Caenorhabditis elegans: one gene and its partners. The protein of the gene in region 2 purifies or fractionates together with the protein of the main gene of each other region. This does not show direct contact. Each region holds a gene or a part of one and is shown on either strand. Other genes may lie near its edges.

Evidence for each region.
Region 1: the proteins of brc-2 (region 2) and F45E1.5 fractionate together in Caenorhabditis elegans (co-fractionation; one large-scale study listed by BioGRID). This does not show direct contact.
Region 3: the proteins of brc-2 (region 2) and ZC581.2 fractionate together in Caenorhabditis elegans (co-fractionation; one large-scale study listed by BioGRID). This does not show direct contact.
Region 4: the proteins of brc-2 (region 2) and kgb-1 fractionate together in Caenorhabditis elegans (co-fractionation; one large-scale study listed by BioGRID). This does not show direct contact.

The regions. Positions count from the first base shown.
Region 1 is NC_003284.9:7,974,865-7,981,258, forward strand, and holds F45E1.5 (Rhodanese domain-containing protein), read left to right. Parts: upstream 1-1,835; coding exon 1,836-2,090; intron 2,091-3,313; coding exon 3,314-3,664; intron 3,665-3,709; coding exon 3,710-3,922; intron 3,923-3,969; coding exon 3,970-4,014; intron 4,015-4,063; coding exon 4,064-4,327; intron 4,328-4,770; coding exon 4,771-4,818; intron 4,819-4,863; coding exon 4,864-4,940; intron 4,941-4,991; coding exon 4,992-5,361; 3' UTR 5,362-5,871; downstream 5,872-6,394.
Region 2 is NC_003281.10:6,900,062-6,904,931, forward strand, and holds brc-2 (DNA repair protein brc-2), read right to left. Parts: upstream 3,046-4,870; 5' UTR 3,017-3,045; coding exon 2,994-3,016; intron 2,919-2,993; coding exon 2,768-2,918; intron 2,673-2,767; coding exon 2,569-2,672; intron 2,525-2,568; coding exon 2,385-2,524; intron 2,302-2,384; coding exon 2,128-2,301; intron 2,077-2,127; coding exon 1,954-2,076; intron 1,911-1,953; coding exon 1,826-1,910; intron 1,780-1,825; coding exon 1,683-1,779; intron 1,444-1,682; coding exon 1,316-1,443; intron 1,251-1,315; coding exon 1,133-1,250; intron 760-1,132; coding exon 718-759; 3' UTR 507-717; downstream 1-506. Other genes in the region: T07E3.4 (F-box domain-containing protein), read left to right, coding at 117-343; T07E3.3 (DSBA-like thioredoxin domain-containing protein), read left to right, coding at 3,834-3,902, 4,120-4,261, 4,317-4,441, 4,486-4,764, 4,812-4,870. UniProt on the Caenorhabditis elegans protein: Required for the homologous recombination repair of DNA double strand breaks, thereby playing a role in chromosome integrity. Acts by targeting rad-51 to sites of DNA damage and stabilizing rad-51-DNA filaments by blocking ATP hydrolysis catalyzed by rad-51.
Region 3 is NC_003279.8:6,653,648-6,658,893, reverse strand, and holds ZC581.2 (non-specific serine/threonine protein kinase), read right to left. Parts: upstream 3,287-5,246; 5' UTR 3,180-3,286; coding exon 3,148-3,179; intron 3,098-3,147; coding exon 2,977-3,097; intron 2,764-2,976; coding exon 2,550-2,763; intron 2,336-2,549; coding exon 2,151-2,335; intron 1,866-2,150; coding exon 1,768-1,865; intron 1,726-1,767; coding exon 1,563-1,725; intron 1,520-1,562; coding exon 1,397-1,519; intron 976-1,396; coding exon 906-975; intron 648-905; coding exon 625-647; 3' UTR 523-624; downstream 1-522. Other genes in the region: ZC581.3 (CPG4 domain-containing protein), read right to left, coding at 3,591-3,862, 3,908-4,118, 4,590-5,083.
Region 4 is NC_003282.8:405,011-411,768, reverse strand, and holds kgb-1 (GLH-binding kinase 1), read left to right. Parts: upstream 1-1,735; 5' UTR 1,736-1,812; intron 1,813-1,896; exon of another isoform or gene 1,897-2,007; intron 2,008-2,872; 5' UTR 2,873-2,882; coding exon 2,883-2,948; intron 2,949-2,991; coding exon 2,992-3,083; intron 3,084-3,733; coding exon 3,734-3,863; intron 3,864-3,906; coding exon 3,907-4,022; intron 4,023-4,730; coding exon 4,731-4,815; intron 4,816-4,864; coding exon 4,865-5,036; intron 5,037-5,205; coding exon 5,206-5,466; intron 5,467-5,512; coding exon 5,513-5,619; intron 5,620-5,677; coding exon 5,678-5,821; 3' UTR 5,822-6,148; downstream 6,149-6,758. UniProt on the Caenorhabditis elegans protein: Mitogen-activated protein kinase which is an essential component of the JNK pathway composed of mlk-1, mek-1 and kgb-1.

The DNA of each region.
Region 1 (6,394 bases), on a different chromosome or scaffold from region 2:
AACCTTATTCTCACTTTACATGAAGTTTTTTTTTGCAATATGTAATTGGATATCACAATTTAGTTCCTTGTAAGCCGCAAACAATTAATTTTTTGTTGACTTTTCCGGTAGAATTAGATCTCAGAGAAGGTCAATTGTTATTTTTAGAACAAACAAATACATTTTAGGATGTTCAACCTAGATATAAATCCGAGTTGCATTGAGCAATGTTGCAATGAAGTTTAGCCAAGTCGCCTAAGGGTTATTCCTTTTTTTTTCGTTTTGAATTTCAATTAAAAAGTTCTAGATAAAATATATGTAATGTTAACATACTTTCATTAGTTTTTGTTGAAATTAGACCTCATACACCAAAAAACTTGCTCTAACTATAACTTCAATTTTTTTGTTTTTACACTTCGTTTCACTTTCTCCGTGATGTTTCTCATTCCTCAATTTTGTACCTGTTTCTGTATTAACGTATACATTACAAACGTACCAATTTTTTGTATCAAAATGTGTTTTAATATTGTCTAAAATATAATTTTCGGGATTGTGTGTTTTTCTAATTTCTTGTTGGTTATAGACGGCTTTGCCGCAAACTTGCCACTTGTCTAGACCAATTTCTCTTGAAAATATGATCATATTTGAAAAGAAAGCCCGACTCTGGGTTTTCAAATGTTTTCAGTGCTCTATTGTGCTAATACAGCTAGGTCAGAGACTATAAACTAGTTACAACTTGACAGATGTTTCTATAGACACATGAAAGATAAATATTTCAGTACGTGTTCGGTGAACTGGAAATTCTCATTCACCGTCATCTAATGTTTTGTTCTATTTTCAATTTAGCTTAAGGATGACATGACATTGCTGAGCACATTACACTTTTCCTTGAAAGTTTTGATCTTTTGATTTTTATTCTCAATATGTTAGACTACTTGGTTATTTTTTCCTTTGGCTTACTAGTTTAGCTATAATTGTTAGTTTCATATTTAAACCTCTTGTTACCTTGATTTTAAAATTAGTGAGGAGAATGACCATTAATCTAGTTCAGACAAACGGCAACAAGCATTTTCAACTGATAAAATAGTTTACAAAGTGTTTACTACTTTTATTTATATGATAACGTTTCTATAACTGTTCTTGACAATCGTTTATGACGTCTTGAAACTTTTTCTTTTGGTCGAGTTTAATATTGCAACAGTTTAGCGGTTTTCCTTAAAACTAGCAACAAAACAGTCATAAAAGTGGGATCAAGAGATAACCCATTTATATTTATATTTGAGTAAAGAATACAATTATTTTAAGCTTCTATTTTGCGTATGCATTTTTTAGTGTATAACAATTGATAAACATGTTATTTTGTAATTCCACTTATAGTGTATTGCTTGAAGCAATATGAAGGAGAAATGTTTATAATCAGTCTAATTAGTGACCGAATAACATAACAAAAAATAGACAATTTTTAAAGATTTTTTTATTTGCAGTTGAAAGTGACAATTACTCACCTATCATAATCTTGAAAGTTGACCAAAAAAAGTCTCAAAAAAGTCAGAGTTTTAATTTTAACTATGATCATATTTTTTGATTGAATATTGTAGGACACAGACGTGTTCAAAATTATTCAAAATGTCCTATCTATGCTAATGTTAAATATTATGTATTTTTGGAATATCATTTTAAAAACATGTCCCGCATCATTTCTTTAAATTTTTCCAGATTTTTGTTCCACTCAAAAAAATGGGCGGAGCTGTACTACGTGATGTTATTTTTCACGACAAACTCTTTCCTCAGTGTTTCTCTTTGCAGTCTTTTTCTCAACTATTTTGACAAACAATCTTACAATATCATGTATTCAGATGGGTTCTAAAAGTTCGAAACCAGAGGGACAAGAAAACAAGCCTTGTTTCTTAGATGCTTCTCAAAAACGCAGAGAAGTTATTTCAAATCTTCCTGATGAATCGGAACATGACACCGACTCGTTGAAGGCTCAATCAGAAGGCCGAGGACTGAAGCACGTCCAATTTGTTGATAAGCTGAAATTCGATTGGGATGATCGTCCTTCACAAACAAATCCAGCACCACCCAAAACATTGGAAGATTATGAAATCGAAGTAAGTGCAATTATTTTGCAGCTTAACTAATGTTCAATATGTTTTTCTAATACCGTATTTCTTCTATAGTATGGCCTTCCTTTTAGACTTGCACTTCTTTTTAGTATTACACTTTGAAAACCCTCCAAAAATTAATATTGAACTACCTATTAGTGTTGCACTCCCTAATAGTCTCGCATCTACTTTTATTTCTGGTACAAATCCTCCTTTCTAATTTTAAGATTTTAACAACATTTTTGCCTATTTTGCAAAAATTTTTGACAAAATTTCTATAAGATTGAAGTTATTAAGCCTTTCTGTTTCAATTACAATTGAATGTTCTAAATTATCAAAAAAAAATTGGAGTTTTTCCAAATAAAAAACTAATAAAAATGTTCTGAAAAACAGTATTGCTCTTCCTATTATACTCCCTAACAGTATTGCAAGCGGGAATACCTTCGAAAAATAGTATTGCTAAAGCCATACTAATAGAAGAAATACGGTAGTTCAAAACATTTTTTTCAAATCTAGTCCAGGCTGTAAACTTTCTAAACTTTTTTAGTCGGCTTTTAAAACAACACCTGGACAAGTGTAGTCGTGAGTAAAACATAGAAAAAGTAAAGAACACTGGTGTGCAAACAGCAGACGTCTAGACTTAAAGTGTCGTTTTATGGGAACACGAGATCTTAATACTTACTAGAAATATGAGTCTGGCAAGTTGGTCTTTGGATTATAGGTTTCTTAGAAAACGAGTGAAAAGAATATCGCATGTAGTAATCTTTGCAAGTAGTAATTTCAACCAGCTAGTGGGTTCATGCAAGAGTTATTACATTGAGTTAGTAATTGTGTACATCAATGCATTACTAGTGAAGAAAAAGTTGGGAAACGTGCAAATTGATTTCAGGTGGATATTGAATGTGGTGTAGCTTACTTTGAGAATGCGCTATTCACTATTCTGTGATAAAACAATATGAATAAGTGTAAAATCAAAATAAAATTCTGTCTGTTTTAAATGCAATAGTTAGCCTCTTCATTTAATTTAAAGAACAATTAAAAAATTTCACAGATCGCATGAATTAATCCATCATTTGTATTTTCTCTAGTTTCGCACAGAAAATGTATACTTACCTGAATGCCGACTTAACCATACTTTGTCGTTAGAAATATTATAGACCCAAACTAACACAAAGATAGTACTTTTCTCATCTGCGCAGAAGTTTTATTGCAAATTAGTTAAATTACAGAGCATGCTTGGGGATGACAAGGACAATAAGACAGCTGATAAAAATGTAGTCTGGAAGCGTAAGGGACCTAAACACGGTTGTGTTCAGTTTTTTCGCAAAGAAAAGAAAGAAACCAACCTTGAACCAGAACCTCCTAAACATCCAGGCGCTGACAAGGCTGAGAGATGGCAAAAACAAACATGGAAAGTTTTCTCCGGTCCACTACCACCTTTGGTTAGTACATCGGGAATTGATGATGAAGAAACTGTTATCCTGAGCAAAGTTATTCACGAAGCAACTCAAGAAGCATGTATAGTGAAGACGTCGGATAACCCGGCATCAAGTGAGGAATTCAAAGTGACACCAGTTCATGTAACTAGCTCTTTGCAAATGACCTACATTTCAATTAAATTTCAGCCTACTAAAAAACCGTTTATAATGATCCATCAAACAAATGAGCAAGAAATCATGAAAACACAAGGAAGCTTTCGTTTGAACCAATGGCTCAATGTCAAAACAGATATTAATAGCGTATCATTGGAGAATTCGGATGATTCAATTTTTATGCAGATGTTCAATATCATTTCGCATGAACGAAATCGTCGATGGTATGCCTATCGAAGAGAACATGTAAGCAATTAGTGAATTTAAATAAGTTTTGAATTTTTTTTTTCTAGGAATCCCTGACACTGGAAGAAGCTTATTTGATTGGAAACGGAGGAGTAAGTTTTATTTTTAAACAGTTTAATTAACTTATTTCATGAAATTCAGTATCTTCCCGGAGAGACGAAACGTTTTGGTATAGCGGAGGTCGCAAGAAAAAAAATCAGTAACACTCTAAGAATCAACATGATTCCAGTTGTTCACAGTCATCAACCCGTTATCGGTGTCCCATTCAAAGGATACTTGCGCGATATTGTTGAACTACCAGAATGTTCAATGGAATTCATTCAAATCATCAATCAGCACCTCATGCCTCACGGTCTTCAAGTTATTGATTTGAGACGCAGATCAGAGGAAGTGCTCGGACAACCGGTAAATTGGACAAACATTTAATACAACTGCATTTGTCGACAGTTCGCCTCAACTTCTAAACTAATTTTAGATTTTTCCAATAGGAATTTCAAGTTTCTAATGTTGGTTGAGAAATTGTGCCGCATTGTTTCAAATCGATGGGTTACAAATGCATTTGATTAAATTTGCTAATAAGACTGTGGCCTCTGATTTATTGTGACGATCATGGTGAAATACAGTATAGTAATAATGTTATTAATGTACATAGCATATTTAAGCAAATTTCTGACCGCGGAACCTTTTTCGATAATGTTCTCAGAATTGTTATTGGGTTCACTGAATAATTCGTAAAGTTGTAAGAACACAAGACTAAAAGACATTACTTTTCCGGCCAATAATTTATTTTTATTAACCAGTTGCAAAATCAATTCGCGTAATCCAAATATACATAATTTTTATTTCAGCCATTATACCATGATGATTACGAGATGGCCAATCACACCATTGACGCAGTGAGTTCAACATTTTTAACAAACACAATATTTTTTTTTTCACAGATATCACGTTCAGTTGAAGCTCTCAATTCCATCAAAAACACAGCAAAATATTTCATCGTTTATGCTATTTATGCAGAGTGAGCCCTTCTAAAAAAAGATCGTATGCTTATAGAAGTTTCTAATTTTAGCACAGTACCAATGTACATTTACCAAGCAATTGTCCGATTCAAGCCTGGGCTTCCAATCAATTCAGCTGACTGGATTGACGATGGAAAATCGCGATTAGAAATTGAAGAACCAGACATGGAGCCTGTTAACACTCTTGACAGTGTTTGCTGGTTAATGCAAATCAGAGAGTATCGGTACAAGGTTGCCGCAGAAAAATCAAAATATGAGAAAGAATTGAAGCAGAAGCAACGTGAAGAACAAAAAGAGCAGAAAGAACTGAAACGGCAACAATGTGAAGAGTTGAAGAGACAAAATGTAAAGAAACAGCAAGTAGCTAGCATGTCAACTTGGAAAAAAGTGAAGACTTTCTTCAGAATTAAATCGAACTAGGAATAATTCGAAATAATTGTTGTGTTATTTGTAAAATATCGTTGTTAACATTCCTATCTCATTTTCTACAAACCTCTTTATTTTCCCATCTCTTTGTTTTTCTGTGTTGTTACTTCTGAGAATCAGTATATTTACCGAGCAATGCAATGAATTGACACACAGAAATGCTTCCAACAAAAGTTCAAATTGCATACTGTGATTTTAGTAACTCTTTTTCACGTTTTACTACATTAGTGAACCTCTTATTTTTCTTTTGCAGTAAAAAGTTGATGTTCCTGACAACTGAGTTAAATCTTGGTTGTTTTACATTTTGAATTGCATAATTCGCCGATTATTTATTCATATTTCTACATACATTTTCGGAACGTTTGTCCTTTTATTTATACTTCTGTCTGCAATAACTGAACCTTCAAATTCATCTGATTGTAATTTAAATTTGTTCCCGTTCACAATCGTATCAATGATTCCTCAAATGTTAACAGTTCCGCGCGTACGATCTTTAAAACAGTTTTTCGAAAACTGATTTGATTTTCTCAAGTGTTAAAGTCCTACTATCCAAGAGACAGTAAACTTCTTGATGTTGCCCGCTATAAAATTAGATGTTAAAATGGCGTAGTTCAAAATGTTTTAGTACTAGCACTCCCTTTTCAGTTTCGTTAGTTTCGAAGGATTTTTCTGAAAATTTATTCAAAGAACACAACAACTGAACAAAAAACAAACGTGTTTAATTACCGAAAAACCTATTGCGGAATGAATAAAAAGCTAAAATTCCGAAAAAAAAACATTTGACAAAATTTCAAAACATCCCGTTGCGAAGCTTTAACTTTTTGGGGCATTTTTTTGCTTAAAAGAGTAAACTACCAGATTTTGCTATTCCACCAAAAACATGGCATGTTTTCAAGATAAAAGTAACCTGGTCCAGTTCTAAAAATTCAGAATCAACTTTCAAAAAACGTTCAAAAATATCTATTTGAAGGAATTATGTCTGAGTCGGAATTTGTTGGCGCGCTTTATAGTTGTTAGCCTCTTTCGG
Region 2 (4,870 bases):
AAAGGCGCACACACCTGTCGCATTCAACCAAAATTGTCGTGTCGAGGCCGGTTACCGTATTTTGAAGCAAAAATCACAGCTTTAATACATAATCAATAAACTATAATATATTCCAGGATCTCAATTTGAATCCGAATGCCTTCGACGTGGACTTCGATGCAAAAATCGCCGTGGCTCGGGCTCATTGACATTGTATAATGTGCAGGAGGAAAATACAAAACGCGAATTTACAATTGCTCTGGCAGCTCTTGAAGACAAAGAATTGGCTGAAAAACTGAAAATCTCCGAACAAAATTGCAATAATAACAATCTTCTGACTGTTCCACCTTCCTTCCAACTTTAATCAATTCATAGAATTTATTTTCCAATTGATCCCCCCTTATCTCTCGATTTCCCAAACATTTTGGGTTTTAGAAATTGTCTTTATAAGACCACAACTTCAAAATGACGTGTGCCTACTTGTATTTGTACTTGTATATTTTCTTGTTTCGGGTTTCTATTTTTCTAAATTTTCGAATTTCTGATGAAGATTTCATCGTTTCATAATAATTCTTTAACATGGAAACAACAGAAGGGGAACATATAAAATTAGAACGGGGATATTCTTTGAGAATAAATTAAAGCATTTGAACCATCTACGTTAAAACGAATAAACACAACAAAAAAATGATAAAATAAATGAAACATGATTAAATGAATATTCACATGAATGGAATATTATGGATGCTTCTTTTTCGAACGGCGTTTCTTCTTGTCTTCCTGAAAAATTATGGAATTTTATTAAATTTTAGCTGATATAATTTTGAGACTTAATTAAAATTGTAAAATTAGCACACTTATCACTCTAACGTGACCGATAATCATAATGAAACACTACAAAATTCTTAGATTTCTCAAATTTCAAGTCAAAGTTTTTTTTTGTAAATTGCAACCTTTTCAAAAATGTGAAATTTTTGGGTGATTTAGGGATTTTTGGCGAATTTTTTTGATTTATCAGATTCGAGAAAAAAATTTAACGCAATTGAGATATAAGAAAATGAAGAAAATGTCTGAAATTCTGGCCGACTTCTAAAATTATGATATGTGAAACAAAAAATGTTCTCTGTAATTTTTCGGTATCAATAAATTATACTTTATGTTTCAAGTAAGAGCCAAAATCTTTCCAGTCGACTTCTGCCACGTCAGTGCATTCCCATTCATCATTCGATTTTTCGATTTCAACCATAACAGGGCGGAACACATAGTTTTGTCTGAAAAAATGCAACGGAATTTAAAAAATTATAAATTGAAAGTTAAAACGCCGCAAAAATCTCACCGTTCCTGGGGGTCTTTGAATCGGAACCAATTGTCAAATCCTTCATATCCTAACAAATCGAGTAATTTCTTCATATTTTTTGTAGTCACATTGATAAACATTTGACCGGAGAAGTCCATAACTCGCACCTGAAGTTTTTTTGTAACGATACTTCCCAAAAACTAAAATTCAAAAAATTATCTAAATTCAGCTAAAATCTCAAACTTTGTCAACTTGACAATGTCACAACTCGCAGAAGTGAGTTCCGACCGCCGCACCACTGACAAGTCGGAAAAATTTGAGATTTTAGCTGAAAATAGGCTATTTATCCAAAACATTAAAAATGTTCTATATTAGGAAATAGGCAATATAAATATAAAGAACATACTCTAGAATACATCGACAATTCAGATTTTCCTTGGGAATCCTTACAAAACTCGCATTGATTCGCTGCTTCTGGGAGAGAGTGTTTGCATTTCGAACATCTGAAACCAATATTATTATATTAATTATCAAGGAATCAGTATGTACCCTGCATAAAAATCCAAATTTAAATCGAGTAAGTTAACTTGGACAACTGTTTTTTTGATTTTCGTGTCTGACAATTCGTGGATAACTGAAATAATAATTTTTTTAGGTGAAAACTCGAAATGGCTCACATCTGGGTTTGATGCAAAACGGCTTCTTGGCAATTGAATGGCGTCGGATACCGGATTTCGCACCATTTTCCTTATTTTTCAGAACTCTATCAATATAGATTTCTGTAACATCGCCTGAGCTTGCTGAAAGTTTACGAAAAATTAAATCAATAGCTACAATCGATTGAGCATTACATTTTTTACAGACTTCCGCGTCGACATGAATTCTGTCGCCAAATTTAATATCAGAGCCACGATTGTAGCTACAAGTGGCCAGGATTAGAGGAGTTGAGCTGGATTCTTGAAGAATAATTCGGAATTTATCCTTTTCGTAGATTCGAGAAACACGCAAAACATCGGCGTGGATTTCTGAAAAAAGACTCCGGATTACGAGAATTACGGAATAAAGAACAGTTTTCAAAAAGGAGAGCCAATTCTAGAGCTTAACTAACCTTTAAACTCCTTCTTCTTTTCTTTTTTCGAATGTTTTTTACTTTTTTTAGAAGAACTGCTGGTTGATTTTTTTGCTGGTGGAGCTTCGAAATCTTCGAAACCGCCGCTAGCCGGCCGTTTTGTAGTTGTTGAGCTCGTTCTGAAAAGAAAAACTTCGAGCTAGATAGCACCTTTGAAACTTACCCTTCTCTTCGAAACGGTGAAACGAAAGCGCTCGACCCATTGTTTTTGCGCACGAGAGGGGAAGAAAATCCGCCTTTAGACGAGGATTTGCTCTTGAGATCACTCTGAATTTGAAATTTTTTATATTAGAAGAATAAATGTGTTGTCGAAGTTAATTTCAGAATATGTTCCATTATTTCCTTTTAATTCCAAAGCTTACATTCAACATCTTCTTTGATTTATCAATCGATTCCTGCTTCACATCAATTCGGATACCAGCCGCTGTTGAAAAAACCGGTTCCATTGATATCGGTACGCCTTTCGGCTCATCAAAGCTGTCTGGTTCAGATATTGTGTCGAAACTGTCTTTTCTGAAAACAAAGAATTGCAATTCATGTATGTTTCTCAATTTTCTTGCTATAACAATAAAATAAATCTTGACTAACACTTTTTTAGATGAGTCACCCATCGGTCGATGTCACAATATTCTGGTAAAGTCTGAAAATTTCATTTTGAGTTCAGAAATTTGAGATTTCAATTGAAAAAAAGGGAAAAAATTAAATTTTTGTTTTTCAAATAAACTGAGAATTTTACTGTCCGGTGGAGCGTAATTGCATTATTTCCTTTTTGAGAAAAAAATTGCGACACTAATTTATTTATTTCCGCCTTTTCTTCTAATTTCGTAATGCAAAATCAATTATCTCACAAATTATAACACGAACCGTTTCTGCCGTTTAAAACTGTGGAAATAATTATATTTATGTGCGGTTTTCATTCATAAAACGAGGGGAAACCCCCAATTGACCTTTCCTCTCTGAATAAAAAAGCAAAGCAAATATTAAATCCGTGTATTTTTTGCGTCATTCTTTTCTATCTCTTACTCTTTTTGCCCCCGCAGTAATAAAGATCTAGAGAAATAGAGAAGAAAAGGAGAAAGTGAGGAAAAAAAATACATGCTCGCAGAGTTCGAAGCTTTGGTCTAACTAGTTGAGATTTCTTCCCAGCTTGATGTTTTTCCGGGTCGCTTTTTCCTTTCATCTCTTAAATTTTCATTTTCCATTTCTTGGGTATTTTCTTTTGATAATCAAATTAAAGAAAAAGCACTCGATTTTAGGTGCAATCATTCAAAAAATTCTTTTGATAAAATAATCACCTTATCACCATTTTAATGTCATTCCCGCCATGAAAACCTGATTTTACAGTCTAAACCTTTCCTATTTTCTCATGATGACGCTCTGATTTTTTTTAATTTCTCGACATAAATTTAATTTCAGCCAAACTTCAAAATGGCTCCATTGCCACGTGTGAAATGTTATTTCGATGTGGTCTGTCCCAATTCATGGATCACTATTCAGGTACATTTGTAATCTAGAAAAACTTGTTTTGATACAATTTAAACTGAAAGATTTTGTTTTTCCGGGTTTTCATTTCCATTGCCCTTCAGAATCATGTGCTTCACGTGAAATAGAAATGGGTCGCATGTGAAAAATAGATAGATCTCAGCCCTTTTTGAATGTTTTATTATTCCCGAAAATAAAAAAAGATGGAAAGAAAATCAAATATAATTTTCAGGCTCTTACATCACACAATTCTCTATTCGAGCGTATAGATTTTGAGCCAGTTTGTGATTTTAAAATTGGAATTCTTCATAATGCTCAAATCTGGAACCAACGTCGACAAGTACACAATTCGAGACTTTGGAAAACGAAAATAGGTAAGTAGTTTGAAAATATATAGAAATCCAAATAATCGCGGGAAAGTTATTTCAGAAGTTCCAGAGCAAGCAGAAAGCGAAGAAACACTCTCAGAAATGGGAATTCTACAAAAAATCGACGAGCGTGGCAAGAAACTTATTGGTTGTGAGCGTGTCGTGCCACCTGTAGATTGGAAAAACGTTAGATTGATTTCGAATATTTATTCTCAAACAAATATTTTTAGACCTACAAAACAGCGGTAGCACGTGGATCGGTCATCCCTCAGCTGTTCCTCACTTCAATCCGTGAACAATACCCAGACCTCTATGAAAAAGCAATTCATCACTTGGGAAAACGGCTCTGGGAGCAGCGACTTCCAGTTCACTACGGGTGTCACATGTCTACAGTATGCCGTGAACTTGGAATCTCATTCAAAATCGCAGAAGACATTGTGGCTCGTCTCTCATCTCCAGAAAATCGATCGATACTACACAAAAATTGCAAAGAAGCCGTGGATTTCAAAGTAAATTTTAATTTTCTAGAAATAAAATCAAGAATTTCCTTTTTCAGCTTACTGAAGCACCCGGATTAATCTTGTTAACTGATGAAGGAGACACTATAAAAGTTGA
Region 3 (5,246 bases), on a different chromosome or scaffold from region 2:
AGAAAATCTTTTAAAAATTAATCAAAATGGCTGTTGAATCGCGCGAAACTTTTTAAAACAATCTTGAAATTTCTGAAGAAAATGTTTCAGGTGTTCGATAGCTAGTTTGAATAATTGTTTTTTTTAATGTTTTTACCAATTTGAGTCCAATTTTTGACTATCTGCGCAAAACTACTGTAAGCTTAGATAACATTTTTCGAAATATAGTCAAAACCGATCCGCAGAGGCAAACAATTTACTGAAAAGTACCCGCTTTTGCTGATGCATCTTGTGTCCACATCCTGATGGACACCCTATATAATGTGCGCAGCAAAAGAGCGGAGCAATTTTTCCAAATATGTTTCAACACGGCCTTTTCTCTCTCAAGCAAAGTCAAAATTCCAGGACGCGGCGGAAAGGAGGGCCTACATGGCTTCATTGTCCCAATTATCGCAATTGTCAAGAATGTTCTAAAAGAATCTTCTAGCCAACGGCTTAAAGAGCATTCCCTACTTTTCCGGTAGTTCTAGGTAAGTCACAAGATCATTTGATTGTATTTATTTGTAATACTCAAGTGGAGAGACAACTGTCTAGTGGAAAGAATGGAGTTCAAAGGAAGGAACATACAAAATCACAAAAGTTCAATTACGAGCTGTCAGTATTCGAGCCTGAAAATATGTTTAAAGCTCCGGTATTACCGGTACAGATAGTGTAGATAGTTAGAGAGTGCCAGACATCCGGGACCCAATGGGACGGGGCGCGGAAGAGACGATTTGTGCCGATTTACGAAATTTTCCTCGTTGTCATCATTTCGTAAATCGACACAAATCGTCTCTTCCGCGCGCCCCGCCCCGTTGGGTCCCGGATGTCTGACACTCTCTAACTATCTACACAATAGGGAAAAGAAAAAAATAAAACTTTCGTACTTCCAAGTGCATCACGATAGTTTTCATCCCAGTCATACGCCTCACGCAACGATTTTCCTCTGGTCATGTCCTGGAAAATTAAATTGTTATAAATCAATTTTCAAGCAGCCAAAATTTGCAGCGCCCGCACAGGTTTCATTTAATTTGGAGAAAAGAGCACAACGTCAAACTATGATATCTCAGTTGCTATTATATCTATCAACAAAGTTTTCACTAACAAAACGTAGATCTTAAAATTTTAAATACTTTGCAGTTGTGAGCTCTCTATTGATATTTTAGACAAATATTGTAGGAAAACAGTACCAACTTCGAAATATCTAGTGCGAGATACTAGAAAGAGTTCAGCTAACAGGGATTTTTGTGAAATTTATATACTGGTTGAAAACTTTTTGATAGCTCTGTTGGTGGCAGGGATTTTAGTTTTTTTAAAATTCAAATTACGTTTTCTACGTGGTAAGGAACAATCACGATCAGTTCAGAATTTAACTTACACAAAGCAAATTTTGCAATGAAGAATGATCGGGCTCATCCTCCGATCGCAAATTGAAAATCGCTCCACAGAACACGGAGAAATAGGGTCCGGTGAGCAGCAAGTATGGAGAGTTTGGAGTATTCTAAACAAACATTTTAAAGGTACAACTTTTTAAAATCACGTACAAAGTCCACTTTAGTCTGTCGGATGTCATCAGTGCTCACCAGTTTCCAGGGAAGGTTGACAAGGAGAAGCTCAGCCCCAGAGTAGGCCATTGACACAAAGTCATCAACTGGGGTCTGTTCTTTTCCATCGTGGACACGCACAGACGAGTAGCGCAGTGTCCCTCTGAACAATTTTCTGAACTTTCTGGGAACAATTTAAAGTTACCTAAAACCAGGTTTGTATCTCTGTTTACGACGTGTTCCATCCACGTTCTTGAATCTTCGAACCATCCCATAGTCGACTAGCTTGAGCACATGACGAGTCTGAAAATTGGCAAAACCTGGCTCTAACCTGCTCAAATAGCCGTAACCCAAACAATCTTTTAGGCATTAAAAAAACTACCGTTACCTAGGCATTAAAAAAACTACCGTTAAAAACTACCGTTTTTATACAACGTTATGCTTAGAAGTGGTGGTATACTAAGCATAAAAATGCAACATAATGTCACGTTTCAATTATATTAGCAGTTTAAATAGAAATATGTACATAAATGGAGAATTTATTTTTGGAAAACGGGTATTACATACATAAATATCAAATATTCTTACACTTTGAGTAACTCCAAAGCACATATTTGCAGGTTTCACGTCTCGGTGAATGTAACCAAGAGAATGGACATCCCGAAGTGCAGCGATTCCTTGGATCATGATTCGTGCGACTGTGGTTTGGCTCAGACGTTTTACTGGGCTTCTTTTCTTCAGATCACCAATGTTTGGACCAAGAAGTTGCATTACTAAAAACTTGACTGTTTTTAGTACGCACCGCTTTTGCTGTGAACTGGCAAAAGTCGACTGCGCGTTGCAAAATATTATAAATGTTATGTTTTGCAACATGTTAGAAAAACTTTTTGATAACTTCAAATCCCGCGAAGATGTACCGGTCGCTGACTTTCAGTGACACTTTATATTCTGCAACATTGAAAGCTATAAAGCCTCAAAGAAACCTACCAATAAAATTCAATTGCTCCGTGTGTCCCGAAGCGCACATAATGGGAACATGAGGTCTTCCCTGCAGACGGTAGAGAACTTTTTGCTCCAAGATCATTCGTCGTCTTGGCCTTCCTTTCAGGACCACTGGCTCAATTTTGATGACAACATCTTCCGGGAATGTAGCGTCTGAGCCGTAGTAGATTTGGCCGAAACCTCCACGTCCGATAAGCCCCTAAATTTTTTAATTTAATAAAAATTATAAATATTTGGAAGTGATTCTGCGCAAAATTTCACATTGATCAAAGAAGTTTTTGAAAGCTCGAACCGCTTATGAGAACGTTTTCATTTTTAGCATCAAGAAATCATGGGAAAGGGAAAGGCGCAGACGTGGTTTTTTTCAGTAGCCATTTTTGTAGCATTGCTTATTGTTTTGAAAATCCCTTACCTTCACCATAAACTTTCCGCGAAACATTTGATCATTTGACAAATACTCAGAACCGTTTCGATCTTTCAACATCGGCACATATGGCTTCACTTTTGGAATTGCCAATCCATCTATCAAGATCCTGGAAAAATTGAGACCTGAGTTCTGATAAACTTCAAAAACCAAACTTACACAGTTTCTTCAGAACGCTCCAAAGTTTCCATTTAATTTAACGCGAATATTGAGAAAAGGAAATAAATTGATTGGGGAAACTAAAATTGGATACAAGAGGATTTCTCCAGTTTTTCACGTCAAAATTTCTTTTTTAACTTCCCTGACCGTTCTAAAAAATTTTCAGAAAAAATAACAGTACAATGTGCAAAGTATAAACGTGAACGAACTTCACTACGAGTTGTTTTGGATATATTTTTCGGACGAGAAGTTGGGAGACAGACACATCCTCGTAAAATATCTATAGGGTTCTTGAGAACTATCAAGTTTGTTCAAACAAAATTATTAGAATTTATTGAGTGAAATTCGAATGCTACAAAAAACCATACACGTAACAGAATCATGATAATAATTTCTCATGACTTTTTCTTTACATATCTTCAGAGAAGCTGCTGCTCATTTTCTCATACAGGCGGACTTCCTTCGTCTTTGTGCACATTATAACTATCAGTTCGTGTAGAACAGAAGTATGCGAGAAGAAGGAGAAGTACGAGGAAAATGAGACAAGTGACAAGTGCAATGAGCCCAATTACAATCAATGTTTCATTTGTCGATGGGCCACCCGAGTCTCCACTGAGAAGATCATCGCCTTTTGTTGGAGATGTCTCAGATGTTGAAAGTGTGGAAGATGAATTTTTGAATTCTTGACGACGATTTTCTCGTTCTCGTTGTTCGTCTGGAATAATGAGAGATTTGTAACTGACTTTAATGTAAGACACACCTTGATCTACATCCAACTGATCAAAATTTAAAATTGGTTTTACAATAACTCCGCCATGAAGCCATGGTTTCGGTTTTCCACTTGTTGTTTTCTTTGGAGTTTCAGTCGTTTTATAAGATATTGTAGATGTGGACAACTCGATAATTTCATTGGAAGTTGTCTCAACACCAAACAACGTCGATGTATCAATTTCCAGCGGTTCTTCGCTATCCTGAACATTGAAATTAAGTTTACATAATATCGGCATTGAATAATTGAGTTTCGCAAGTTTAGAATAGGTTATATTCAAAAGCACCATTTGAAGAAGAAGTAACGGTAGTTTTTGCTGAAATAATCACACAATGGCTCTAAAACTTCGAACTCGAATGCGACTACTCACAAAAAATCTCAACAATGTTTAAAGTTTTTCTCAACAATGTTTAAAGTGTAATAATCTCAACAATGTTTAAAGTTCTCCAATTTTTTTTTTGGGAAAAGGGCAAAGTTTAGCTTTAATTTCTAATTTTGGTTTTATTAAATCTTTTTTTTTGGAATAAGACATATTTGAATCAAGAAGTCTCATCATGAAAGTAGATTTTTGGTGTATCATTAGTTATTTAAGAAAAAAAACCCAAAACCGTTACTCGTCCTTCAGTTCATGAATAATGTAAGAAATAATAATACAGTAACATTCCAAATATACCTCTAAATCTAAATTATCAGCGACATAATTTGACCGTGTTGTACTGTCATAACGATTTGATGAATAAAAGAAGTTTGGTGGTGTATTCTCCATACTATCTTCCGAAAATACTTTTCGCTTGAGTGTTGTTGTTTCAATTTGAATCTCTTCTCCGCTTTCTTCCAAATCTTCTGATTCATTTGAATTAACAATATTTGGTGGGGTCAAGTTTAAAAGTTGATCTGGAGTTGTCACTTCTACGAGTGCATTATCTTCCGATTGTTTTTCTTTGGAATCAGCGTCCGAATCTGATTCTGATAATCTTGTTTCAATAGATACCACACTAATTGTTGGATGAGTTGTATTATCCGAGTCATGGTATTCATGATCTTCATCATAATGGTGATCAGTGTAATCATGATATTCAGCATTGTGATCCACGTCCTCTTCAGTTTTGTCATTGAGATGTGTTAGAGAGTTGGTGGAAGTACTTGGACTGATGAGTTGAGTAGACTCTAAATTAATAATAACAGTACGTTCCCCGTTAGTTTTGCATACAAAACTATTTTAACAACTTTCAAGCTGACTCGATTAGCCTTGTAATTAAAAAAATTTAGAATTTGCTCAAAATTTACTTTAAAATCACGGATATCTTTGAAAACGTGTCATTATAGGCTT
Region 4 (6,758 bases), on a different chromosome or scaffold from region 2:
AAAACAGTATTCTATTATTTTTGTTACGAAAATATTTCACAATTCTCGGAAGAAAACGAGATGATTGTGGTTATTGGGTAAGTGTTCAAAGAATATACATAGAAGTTCCAAATTTAAAGGTGGAGTAGCGTCTGTAAGTTTTTTGCCATAAATGACAGAATAGAGACCCAATATACTAAATATAACTGTTAAAAAATGTAGAAAATGTATGAAATTTTTCTAATTTTTTAATGATTTTTTTCTTAATTTTACAAAAATTTAAAAAAAAGGACTGAATTAAATTTGAACTCCCGCGCAAATGAGTGACGTCATTTTCGAAACTTTTGCGTTTTCAGCCTATATTAATAGGTTTTTCTTCATTTTTCCTTTGTTTTATAATTTGAAATACAGTCTGTCAATTTTTCAGACTAAAAGAAAATGTATGATTAATTTTGAATAATTAAGCCAATTTCAGAGTTTCGGTAAGTTTCTTCGCAATTATCAAGTTTGAAAAATGTTTGAAAAATTGAAAAATTATGTTTCAAATTATAAAACTAATTGTAAGAATAAAGAAAAACCAATTAGTTTGGCCGTAAAACACAAAATGTCGAGAATGACGCCATTAATTTGTGCGAGAATTCAAATTTAAATCGGCCTTTTTGAAAAAATCATAAAAAATTTATTATTATTTTTTGATTTTTTAACAGTTATATTTGGTAAATTGGGACTGTATTCTGTCATTTATGGCAAAAAAACCACTACTTCACCTTATAATTTAAAATTATCCAACTCACTATCTCTGTGTTTCATTTTAGCATCGAGTTATCACTTCCGATGACTAACAAATGGGAAATCTAAGGAATAATGCAGAGATTGAAAAGAATTAGAGAAACAAACAGACAAAATCAAGTATTATTTAACAATTGTAAAGAACAACCAAAAAACCCCACAGGAAAGACCACACAGAATGTGGACCCACGACTTTGGGAGATTAGGCACCTACGAGATTTCATGGCCCAAGTTAATTGGGTAGCGCTTTGAGTTGTCATAAATGTTAATAATTGAGAAAAAGATATTTAAAACTTAAAACGTACATATTAAACTTATTTCTTATAGAATTTACTTTCAAAGCTTTTATTATAGGCGGTCGATTTGTTCTACGGCAACTCTATTCTCCAAAACAGAGTGGTGTCTCTTTTCTGTCTGATTCTCTACTTCTCTACACATTTTCAATCCTAGGTGTGTCTCTCTCTGAAGGATGAAATCTCTATTTCTCTGCATCTCCTATTTGGCTTCAGCCTATCGCTTCTCTTCCGCACACAAACATTCACTCAGTGACGTAACTTTTAATACCTACACTATTTCTCTCTTTCGCATTGTCAACTTATATATATATATATGTATATAGATCATTCCTGTACTATTTAATTTTTAATTATAACTTTTTAAAAAGGTTATTTATGATTTAAAAAAAACAAAATCTAAAGTGTCTTTAAAGTGTAAAAGTAAAAATTGGCAGGCTGGGTATACTGCCTTTTTTCTTCAAGTTTTCGAATCTAAGTAAAAATAAAAAATTTCCCCTGCTTTTTTAATACAATTTTAGTTTGAATTTTACTTGTTGAGAATAATAGACTTCAATTATCTCGATGCAGTATTATGTATTTCACTAATAATTAACAGCAAATACCTCAAAATTACCCCGAACTCGAACTATTGCTAGAATAAACCATTCGAGTAACCCGTGTATTTATTGTAGAGTTCGTGAGAAAAGGATTAAAGGATTAAAGGACGATCCGTTCTTCAAGCGCTATGCACTGCGGATCTGGGAGTCAGGTACACTGCCTGGTGGTGATCCCACTAAAAAAGTAATTAGAGTATTATAGAAAAAATACGATCGCCCAAAAATAAACAACGGCGCAACGACACTCCGCTGTTTCTGAGACCCGCCCACGATTTCATTTGCACTGCGGCCGACACATTTCAGTGCAAATGAAATCTTGGGCGGGGTTTAGAAACGGTGGAGTGTCATTGCGTCGTTGTTTATTTTTGTACGATCGTATTTTTTCTATAATAAAGGTTTAAAAAAAAGAAACACACTATTGGATGTTACATTCCAGTCAACTTGATACCTAAAATATTTAAATTTTCCATTGAAATTAGTGTTGACTTTTGTTTCCTAAATACGAACATCCTTTCAAAACCAAGCGCAAAAAGTGTAAGATCATTCACAACTGAAGTCAAATTTTTGAAGTGTGAACATTTTTTGCGTCATGCAAATATGAAATATGAGTTTATGAGTCGATTAAAAAACATAAAAACCCAAACAAAAACGCTGAAATTTCATTAAATGTTAAAAAATGACTTCTTTATTACAAATCCAAAGTTATGATTAAACATTTAAAGATTAGCTGCAAAGATTATTTATTAAACTACATATCTTTCTATTTTTAGTCTATTTTTTAAACATTGTCAGGTTTAGTTTGCACTTCAAAAAATGAAAACTGTATTTCACTAACAATATGTACATATATCCCCTCCCTCATTTTTTTTCACTCCAGAAATGGAAAGTCAATATTTGGAAAGAAAATAATTTTCCAAACTGTTAGAATCTCCGTTTTTAAGATTTATTGATTTCTACGTGGGTTGAAATGACTCAGTTTTGATGAAACTCAACAATTTTAAGGCATTTTTATCAGTTCCGGTTGGAAAGGAAAATCAGAAACATTTTTGCAAGTGATAAGAATTATGAAATTTTTATAGATTTTTTCAAACGTTTATTTGGAAATTGAAATTATACTTTTAAAAATTTAAGAAAAGCTGAAATTTAATGACTAACGTTTATATTTAATTTTTGAATTTTAAGTATTTCTCCCTGAAACTAATAACTTTTTAGGCACAATAAGATGGAAGTGGATCTGCCGGTACATAACGAGTATGATGCGTCTAGATTTCATCAAGTTACAATTAGGGTTTGTTACTAGATACTTTACCTCCATTCAAATTCATTTTCAGGACCCGATAGCCGGCGCGGACAGCACTTTCACTATTCCAACTCGTTATGTAAACCTTAGTTTTCTGAATGCCGGCGCCCAAGGAACTGTCGTGTGAGTTTTTACTAATTACATTAATATTTTATTGAAGGAAAAATAATAGGGCGAATTTTTTAACGCAGTAAACAAAAAATTTCAATAGACAAACAAATATTAACACTTCAAAGATGTTAATCAAAGATTTGATAGATTGCCAAATTTTCGAATAATTTTTACTTTTTCAAACATTTCACACTTTACTGCAAATTATAGCCCCAATAATGTTCAAATACCAAAAGATAAAATAAATTTTTTGAAAGAACTATGAATTTTAGTCATTTTAGAAACATATGGCTGGTTTCAGAGAATCCTTTCTCTGGTCGTACTCCATCTTTGAATGTCTCACTGCCTTTCAATTGTATATTTTTACACTTTAACTTTTCTTCGGTTTTGCGTAATTTCAAACACTGACACAATGATGACTTCCCGAAAAAAAACGGACCGCCCTATCAAAAAACTTTTAAAACAGGTAGAGGTCTCGAGATCATTGTTATTCGTCATTGCCCGCTGCTCCACCTCTAAGATTGAAAAAGCTTGAAAAAATCAATAATCAAGAAGATCTTCTAGAAGAATGAAAGTGACTGAAATTAAATTATCGCGCAAATGACTTCAAACAGAATTTCTAAGTTAAGTGAACAGCCATAATTTTTATTGATTACATTTAGAATGGCCGATGACCTAGTAACAACGCAACGTGTGGCAATCAAGAAGATGCAACAACCATTTGTGATGACAATGAGCGCAAAGCGAGCATATCGAGAGTTTATACTGCTAACGACTATCAAACACCCAAATGTAAGATTCAGTTGGAATCTAGAAAAAATGCTCCAAATTTCAGATAATCCGTCTACTAAACGCGTTTACACCGGACACTTCACTTTCAACGTTCCGAGAAGTATATCTAGTTATGGAATTAATGACACACAATTTGCACGAGGTTATACATCGATTAAGGTAAGAGACATGGTGGCTGATTTTTATGATTTTTTTTCAGTAATACCAATTTTTATAGTAATATCTAGTATACTAGACGTAATTTAAACTGTATATGATGGACTTGTTAGAGACTAATAGACGTAAAATATTATTTTTCTGTTATTGATTTTGAGAACAAAAGAATAAAAATAAAACAATAGGAAAAGCACGATATCTTAAAGAAGGAGTGGCGGATTCATTTTTGCTCTAATAAACTCAGAACGACTCCAAAATATCAACCTTTTTTGTCTCAATTTCACGTTTAATAAACATATTCAACAATAATAATAAGTTTATTGCTGACACTTTTCAACAAAAAAAACTTTTAAAAAAAGAAAGAAACAAGGGCAAAAGCTAGACTTTCAATTTTGCCGTCTTTCGCGTTTCCCAAGGTCGGAAATACATTTTTATCCAACCTTGAGTACCCACTTGGAAATGTGCCGAAACCATCATCAAAACACGCACAGTTAGCTACCAGAACACGCGTAAAAAAATAAAAAAAATATTCCAGCGTGTTTTGAAAATTTTTGGTCAAGATTTTAGTTAACTACCAAAAATCAGAATTTTTAAAAAAGTTTAGAACACTTGCACATTTGAGCTCCTATTCATGATTGTTCAATGATTCAATGATTGAATATTGAATATAAACACATAATTAGATTCTAAAAAAATTTTCTGAATTATTAGATTGGACCATAAAACATTATCATTCTTCGTCTACCAGAGTTTGTGCGCAATCAAGCATCTTCACAATTCGGGAGTCATTCATCGTGTACGTATCTACCACTATAGACAACATTCTGAAAAATTCAAAGTTTCAGGACTTAAAACCATCGAATATTGTCGTCAACGATCGATGTGTATTAAAAGTTTTAGACTTTGGATTGGCCCGGAAGAAGAATGTGGACACATCGATGAGAATGTCAGATTATGTGGTGACAAGATACTACAGAGCCCCCGAAGTTATATTAGGTCTTCCCTATTCGGAAAAAGGTTTGTTCGAAAAAAAAAAAAATTTTTGTAATTTTGGGCTGGACTTCCATCTGCGCTCCGGTGAGCCGCCTCAAACAGCCTCACGCCGTACGTATCCGCATGTAAAGTGCGCGTAAAACCCCAAACGTGTCGGCCGCTTCCAAACAACACTCTCAATTCATAATTGCAGTAGATATTTGGTCAGTCGGATGTATATTTGCTGAAATGATCAACCATACCGTACTTTTCCCTGGAAAAGATCGAATTGATCAATGGACTAAAATTTATAGTGTTTTGGGAACACCAGATGATCATTTCATTAGTCAATTGGGTCAGTCAGCTGCTATGTATGTTCGATCGTTGCCACGTCATCAGGCACGAGCATTCAGTGAAATCGTTCCTGATACCAATTTTCTGCCGGAGACTGAAAATCCAAGGGTCCATTTGACACGTGAGTCAGGCTATACAGGATTTTGAAAAATAAATCATATTTTCAGCACACGTGGCTCGTGATCTCCTGTTCAATATGTTGAAAATCAATCCTGAAGAAAGGTATTCAGTTGAAGATGCACTGAATCATCCATATGTTAAGTTGTGGTTTAAGGTACAACAATTTTAGCACTAAACAAAAACAATCAAATCATGCATCTCAAATCTTACAGGACGATGAGGTAAACGCCCCCGCATCAGAAAATCGATACGATCAGGAAATTGATTTTGCCGATAAGACACTTATTGAATGGAAAGAGCTAATTTTCAACGAAGTGCAACGCTATCAAGCCGACCACGACATTTTCACTGGATAATAAATAATAAAAAACCTAAAATTGTTTCTTTTTCTCTCAAAAATAATTGTGTTACTTTTTTCTTCAAAAATCTATCTTTCAGTTGTGTTCTGTCACTTAGTTGGCCATATTTTCTGGTGATTCTCTGCTTATTTTCTATATTGATTATAATCACTAAATGTTAATTATTTTGGAATACAGATTTTTTGGAACTGTTTTGTTTTAAGTATAAGAAATTGAACCTTAGCTCCACAAAATTTGCATCTCATTATAAAGTAGGGATTGTTTTTCGATTGTATTGTCAGGTTTAAATTCAAAATTCTAAATCAATAAATTAATTTTTTAGGGACCAGGTCCCCTATGAGGTCGCCACAGCGGCGCCCGCGCCGGCCTCACAGCGTCAATCACAGTGCATGTATCCGAATATATAGTGCGGCAGGGAACCCGATCGTGAAGTCCGCGCCTCACTTAGCTGGGAGACCTATAGGTTTTTTTTCTTCAAAACGATGCTTTAATTTTTGTTCTCAAAAACAAAATGAAGCCAAAATGGGAATCCAGAACGACCGGACATTAAATCACACAGATGGACAATGGTGGTCTTGAATAAGTACATTTATTTCACAAAAATTGAACATTCAGTAAAAGATGAGGTTTGAAGACTGAAAAGTGGGCTGGACAACAGAAAATCGACTTTTGGGTAGTAAAAGATTTTTGATATAAAGATGGGAAATAAAGTATATGGACATTTGGACAAAAAGAGAAACAGAGACGCCTTGAAATGTTTTCAAATGATTCTTTTAGTATTCTATTCTAGAATTAAGAAAAGCGGATGGAAAATATTTTTTTGGAATCTTGATATTTTGTAAGTTTGAACTTTTGGGTTTTGGAATTCCGAATTTTTGTTATTATCATATTATTTTTTGAAAAACCGGAATTTAGCATCAAGTCTGAGAGATTT